Linked DNA regions of Cricetulus griseus. The protein of the gene in region 2 purifies or fractionates together with the protein of the main gene of each other region. This does not show direct contact. Links are inferred from orthologs where the notes say so. Each region holds a gene or a part of one and is shown on either strand. Other genes may lie near its edges.

The links. Proteins that work in one complex are often made in the same cells at the same time.
Region 1: the proteins of Nod1 (region 2) and Ripk2 purify together in Homo sapiens (affinity purification with western blotting; 4 studies listed by BioGRID and IntAct, with this or other methods). This does not show direct contact. The link is inferred for Cricetulus griseus from reciprocal best matches to the Homo sapiens genes NOD1 and RIPK2.

The regions. Positions count from the first base shown.
Region 1 is NC_048595.1:130,003,604-130,007,255, forward strand, and holds part of Ripk2 (receptor-interacting serine/threonine-protein kinase 2), read right to left. Parts: intron 3,191-3,652; coding exon 3,033-3,190; intron 1-3,032.
Region 2 is NC_048601.1:86,340,858-86,344,609, forward strand, and holds the start of Nod1 (nucleotide-binding oligomerization domain-containing protein 1), read left to right. Parts: upstream 1-1,290; 5' UTR 1,291-1,457; intron 1,458-3,752. UniProt on the Homo sapiens protein: Pattern recognition receptor (PRR) that detects bacterial peptidoglycan fragments and other danger signals and thus participates in both innate and adaptive immune responses.

The sequences.
Region 1 (3,652 bases), on a different chromosome or scaffold from region 2:
ACCTTAAATGAAAATGGCCATAATTCAACAATAAGGAGGCAGAGTTGACTGGATCAAGAAACAAGATCCTACTTTATGTTGTCTCTAAGAATCGTACATTATTGGTAAAGATAAAAGAATCTATTAAAAATCATCTGAGTAGTTATTCTGATGAAAGAGCCAACTTCTACACAAAGTTAGTCAGAAGAGAGAAAGGATAAATTCACCAAGAACTAACAGCTGTAAATGAATATGCAGCAAACTCTGGCACTCCCAAATTCATAAAACAGACTCATGGTTTGATTTGTGAAACAATAATAGTAGGTGATTTCAATCAGCCAATAGATATACCAACTAAGCTAAAAATCAATAAAGAAATCTCAGAGTTAAAGTACATCATAGATCATCGGATTGAGCCAGTATTTACTGAATATTCCATCCAATTGAAACAGAATACATGTTCTTTTCAGCAGCCCCCAAACCATCTCTAAAACAGACCACATTCTAGGCTACAAATCAAGTCTAAGCAAATACAAAGGAATCAATATCACCTCTTTTACTTGTTCAGCTCCTAGTGCAATGAAACAATAAATCAAAACACGGAAAGAAAATCTACAGAAACTATACAGATGCATGGAGACTGAAGAACGAACTCTTGAATTACCACTGAGTCATTCACGAAGTTAGAGAGGAAATTTAAAAGTTCCTAGAATCAAATGAAAACGAAAGCACAGCTTCAAGGTAAGAGGAACATTTGTACCTGTGAGTGCTTTATAAGTCAGAAAGATCTCAAGTGATAGCCCAACAAAGTACCTCAAGGTACTAAATAAAATGAACAACCTAGCTGGATGGTGGTAGTGCGTGCCTTTTGCACTTTGGAGGCAGGGGCAGGTGGATCTCTGAGTTCGAGGCCAGTCTGGGGTACAGAGTAAACTTCTAGGACTACACAGAGAAATCTTGTCTAGAAAAACCAAAAATAAATAAAACAAAACAAAACACAAGAACAATTCAAACTCGAAAGCACTGGATGGCAAGTAATAATAAAGATCAAGGCAGAACTTAATGAGATGGAGACAAAAACAAGAATATATGTTTGGTTGTGAGTCTACCCTTTAAGAGCTGAGCCATCCTTCCAGCCCGAGAACTATACATAGAGTCAATCAAAGAGTTGGCTCTTTGAAAACATAAATAAGATGGACAAACTTTTAGTTGAATAGCTAAAAGAAGAAGAGCCAAATTAATAAAATCAGAGATGAAAAGGGAAGTCTACATTTTTGTTTCCAATAAAATACAAAGATTTATTAGGAAGGACTTAGAAAACTCATTTAAAAAACAAAAAACAAAACTGGAAGATCCAGAAGACATGGTAAATTCTTAGATATATATGACCACCAAAATTATATCAACACACACACACACACACACACACACACACACACACACACACACACACACACACACATGATATCACAATGATGTCTCTTAACAAGGAAAATCTCAGAACCAGGTAGATTCACCATCAAATTCTATCAAGATTTTTGCTTCTTTTGCTTTTGGGAGAGACAGACTCTCCCTATGTAGCACTAGCTGTTCTGAAACTCACTCTGTTAGCGAGCTGGTTTGAACTCAGAAAGAGCTACCTGCCTTTACCTCCTGGATACTGGGATTAAAGGCACGCACCAATGGTTTTCTACACCAGTCTTCTTCCAACTGTTTTATAAGATGGAAAGGAAGGCAACACTACCAAACTCATTCCATGAAGCCAACATTGCACTGAAACCAACACTAGATAGGAAAACCATAGAAAAAGAAAACTACTGTGCAGTTTCCTCCATGAACATAAATGCATAAACTCTAAATAAAACTCTTGCAAATCAAATTCAAAAACACATCAAGCAGATCATATACCTTGACCAAGCTGGTTTCATCTCAGGTATGCAAGGTTGGTTCAACACTTGCAAATCAATCAGTGTAGTTCAGTGTGTAAACAGACACAATGAAAGAAACCACAAGATCTCTCAATCCAGGAAAAAACAAAACAAACAAAAAAACCAAACGGTCTGTCTTTATAGACTCAAACCATCTGGACTATGTAGTCTTCATGTAGCAGAAACAAATCCGTTCTGTTCCTTCTCACTGGGCACCTCACTTAGATGAACTAAGGATATACGGAAACAATGGAAGAAGAAACCTTCTTTGTACAATGACATGAATGTGACAGATACTTGTCCTAGATGCTCACTGACATGAACTGGCTGCCACAGATTTAATAAGGAGTAAAAAAATTCTTTTTTTGACAAAAGGGTTATATAAGCTGATTATGCAATTTTCTAGTCAAGACATATCATTTACTACTAAAACATCTTCATTTTTATGTTAATTTATTAAAGATAGCAAAAGTTGTTTGAAAGCGCTATAGCATGGATTTAAAATAATTTACATTCCTTGGCAGGTTAAAGAGACAGATGTGAATTACACATGAGGTAAAAGCTCCCACGCTATAATTCTGTGCATAATAAATTATCATCCTCCTTTACTCTGGCCAAAGAAGCAATATTAAAAACATTATGCTTAATTACTATACTGTGAGGTTATAATTAGCTGTAAATGAAACATAAAACCACAATTCTATTAAACACATTGGTTCACTGTATAAAGGATCCATCCATATATAAACATTAGGGATGATTTAAATAAAAACATCCCTAATAGGTTTAACAGTTTGTTTAACTCTCTTTAAAAGTGAGTAATGTATAAGTAATAGTGACTAAATGTTATAGACTCCTGTTTGCCCATGCTTTCCCAAGTAACTTACGCTGAAAACCTTTGAGCACTGCTACATATTCATAGGGAAAAATATATAACTTCATATCTTTAAACAACGTTGAAATCACTTAAAGCAAAAATGTCTAATTTGAAAAATATCAGCCATTGTGGTCTCTAATTTATTTTCATTATAAGTAATTAGAAGAAAATTTCATTATAAAATGTCGTTGGAAAATTTTGGCTGATTAATCTTATATTTCTGATAAAACAAAAGCAATGCTCAGTACCTGTATATATCATGCTTCACACTGGCTCTGGATTTCTGTCCAGGTTCATAGTTCTCGGGTGGCATATAGATGATCGTTCCTCCTTCGGGGGCAGATTTGCTGTTTCGTGATTGAGAGAGTGACATCATGCGCCATTTTGATAAACCAAAATCTGCAATCTATAAGATGAAAGACTTGAATTAAAATTATCCTTTTTTCTTTAAAATGTCCAAAAGTTAACTGCCTTTGTTTTCATATATTGCGTTTATAATGGCTATCAGACCCAAGAAAAGTAATATACTACTAATATTCCACAGCCTCTTAACAAATTAAATACTACAGTGCTATCCCCAGTAACTCTAGATGTAATATACATTTAATCAAATTTGTAGCAGAATATTACACATTTTTAAGGGAAACTAATTGTTTCTAGAATCTGAGTAATGTTTTTTAGGGTGTACTTTCCAGTCTCCCTGTCATCGACTATTGCTCCTCGTATGCCATACACTAGACTGAACATTGCTTAGAAATGGTCATTTAATAACTCTTTTTGTTAAATTTATTCATTTGTGTATGGGCGTGTAAGGGTGTGGTCAGAGGGCAGCTTCAGAAGCCAGTTCTCTCCTTCCATCCCATGGGTT
Region 2 (3,752 bases):
ATCCTTTCAGGATTTTACTAAATGGAAACAAAACAGCAGCCAACTGCTATCCAGAGCTGGTGAGATGGCTCAGTGGGGTAAAGGTGCCTGCTACCAAGTTTGCGTTCAATCCGCTCCCCAAACCCACACAGTGGAGAGAGAATACCAACTCCTGCAAGTTGTTCTGTGACCTTCCCATGTGCACCATGGCATGCCTGTATTCACACACTTAAACACACAGAGAGAAATGCAATACAAAATTTAAAATGCTATCTCAGAGGGTAACCTGATGCACGATCCCATGTGTTTAAGTCTTGAAAAATTGCAGAAATGGGAACTGGTTTGCAGTTGCCAGATGCTGAACAGAGGTGGAATGACATAAAGGGATGCTTCAGGCAGACCTGTTCTGTATCTTGACTGTATTACCATCTATTTTCTGCTTACCGTAGCGTTTGGTACCATAACCCCACAGGGTTGGAGGAAATTGGGTTAAGGGTGCATGGGTCTGTGCATTAGTTCTTCCAATTCTTTATTAATATACAATTATCCCAAAATAAAAAGTCCAAAATAACAAGTAAGGAACAGCTGTCTCAAAAAAAGAAAAAACGGAAACGATAGACTAAATACTGACAATGGGCAGGGGTGAGTTTGGCCCTTACACACTGTGGCCCACCGAGCTTGCAGTTTCAGTTTTGCTTTTCTTGGAGGGCAGCCTTCATGCGAGTTTTCTTATCCATGACTAGTATGTGGCCACACACCTGAAGGCACTTTTGATTAATTGTCAATAACGTTTAAAAACATTTATTCCGAAAATGTATTAGCAAGTTAATTCCTTCACGTGGTTACAGTAAATGAAAAGGCTCTGAAACGTTCACGATCGAGAGAAGAAGACTTAACCACAGACGGGAAGAAAGCCTCGGTCCCTGAAAGTAGATCAAACTGAAGTTTGCTTAGTGGACAGCTTCTTGAGAGGCGCAGACTCCGTTTAACAAGCCTTCCCTCCCGGGTCCGGGCATTGGTTGAGGTTACAGGCTTTGGGTGGCACTTTCGTGGGGTGGGGGGCGGGCCTTGGCTCTCCGCGGCCGTGGCAGAGCTGGCACGACGAGTTCCCAGTGTGCCACCCCAGGGCGAACTCGGAGACCTGCCCACTACCGCTCCGCAGGGGCGGCTCGTGCAGCCCAGTGGCGGCGGCGGCGGCGGCGGCTCTGGCCGGGGAAGAGTGAAAGGGAGCCCGTCCCCGCCTCGTCCGCCCGCTCCGCCCCATCCTCTCCCGGGAGCCCACCCGAGCCCGGGCTCCGCAAGGCGGAGGAGCCGTGGTTCCCGCCAGTTCCCGTTCCCGGACCGCGCGAGCCGCAGGGTCCACCCTGCCCTCCAGCTCCTGCTGTCCCACCGGATCCGCGACCCTAGTCCCTGGATCCCCACACCGCTGGCCACCGCGCTCCCGGGCCGCCGGAGCCAAAGTCCTGTCTGTCAACTTGGTAAGTCACGGGGGTTGGTGCGGGCAGGCTCTCCGGACCAGCTGAGGAAATGAAAAGCTGCTGCCGAAAGCTCTGGCTGAAACCGGGCGGAGAAGCCCCCGAGTTTCAGATGCAGCCTGTTCGGAGGCAAGCACTTCACAGCCAGTGGAATCGAAGATCCTACTGTGATCTAAGGCCCGCACGCTCAGCCCGCCAGCCTGCAACTTAGTATCGTCAAATGTGGACCAGATCCAGATGACCAGACCATTCCACAGACCGATTCTGTGGGAATTTCTAGGCTATTGCTTCAGAGTTGCAGGGGTGATTCCAATGTGCATGGAGTGTTAGGAGCCAGAGACCAAAGAGTAGTTGCCAAAAGAAAGTGCCTGCTGACTGGGACTTCCCGGAGTGCAGCCTACAGACAGGCCAAGGCTTCCAGGGACCTCCTAAGGTCCTGAGGTCGAGGGAGGACTTTTCCTTGTTTCATGAAACACAAAAGAAGGAAGCAGGACAATGCTTGCTTGGCAGGGTGGCTTTTAAGGGTAAAGCCAAAGGTATGCCTGCAGGACAGAGTCTGAGTGCTTGAAAGCAACCTTCCTACTTTAGACATTAAGAAGACCCGGAGTGCCCAGCACTTGGGAGGCAGAGGCAGGTGGATCTCTGTGAGTTTGAGACCAGCCTGGTCTACAAGAGCTAGTTCCAGGACAGCCTCCAAACCCACAGAGAAACCCTGTCTCGAAAAACAAAACAAAACAACAAAAAAAGAATACCCGAAGTGTTCAGGGTTAATATCCAGAAAGTCTGTTGGAGAGGGGAGTCCCCCTGTTCACATCTGTTGTGATCCAGGAGCCACTGGAAAAATGGACAGTCATCCTCATACATGCTGGCCAGGGGAGAGGCAGATTTAAAACCCTCGGCCTAGAGGTGGAATTGGGCCCTTTCGAAGGCTGAAAGAGTAGGTTTTGTTTTTGTAGAATAGAGACCCAGTAAACCTGACTCCTACCTTTGATTCTTCCCACTTGAATGATGTGATCAGCAAGTTGAAAATGGCCCCTCCAAGCCTCTCTTTTCTTACTGATAAAGTCTGGACAGAGTGAAGCTAACAGCTGGATAAGGTACATTATATGGTCCATAGCAGGGGCTCCATTACTGGACGATAGAGTAGTGGTAATTTATGTGCCACAATTATCTCTTTTTAGTGTAGCCACTATGATGGAGTATTTGTTCAGAAACTGTGTTCCTTAAAGCCTCACTCTCCTGTGTTTCTACACCATATATATATATATTTTTTAAACAGTCACTTTCAAGAAAGCTGGGCTGTCAGCAGGACTTAAAACTGATGCAGCACACATGGCTCTCTTGCTGGCAACAGCCTCGGTGTTCTTGTTTTGCTCTTGACTGTTGGTCTGGAGTCTTTCATCAAAGACCAAGGACAGCCAGGGATCTGAATAAGAGAATTCCACAACCTGTCCTTACTGATGCCTGCCTCCCATTTAAAATGGCCACCCAGCTGCCCACTCTGTTGGGACTGTCACTGCCAGGGTTAACAGCAAGCAGCAGCACTGTTTGGATAAGACATTCAAAACATAAACTGTGAAGGCATGGCGGACAAGTGTCAGTCACTGTACGTGACAGTTTCTTCTACATTTTTCTTTGGGAGGATTTTGGGCAAGATGGAGTTAGGAGAGCTCCTATGTACTTGCATGCCCTGCAGCAGCCTGCTTTTCGAGATGTCTACAGGTTGTGAGCATGTCTGTGGAGGCTCATGGAGGGCAGGTGTTTCACCTAAACTTGACTCTGTAGTGAGAGGGAGTAGTTGCTGTCTTTTCAATTAGCTGATGGATTTCAGGAAGTGCTGGGACACTGGCCAACACAAGACTTCCTGGCTTCAATGCTTACTTAGACTTGAATTTCATCTGAAATTGGCAGGCACCAAACTGTGGGCAGAGTCCTATATGGAGTCAGTCACAGCAGGAGGCTCCACCCTCCCCAGTTAGTCTCCTGCCAACCCATGGAGAACAGGCTGTTATCTGATGGAGCGCTATCCAGGCCTCTGATGGAAGAGAGTAACTAGAAAGAGATGCACGTCTTTATAGCCAACGAGGCAATGAAGTACCCTGCTTCCTTAAAACCAACAGGCTAAGCCATAAACTCACTTTAGAATTTGTTTTTGCAAACAAGTTATTTTCCTCAGAATTATAGGAAAATATATTTTAAAGGAGTAGTAAATGGTTGAAGACAAAGCCCAGGAAATGGCCCAGTGAGCACGTACGTGATTCGCACTAGGTCTTGGTCCATCATCATCATCATTACTAC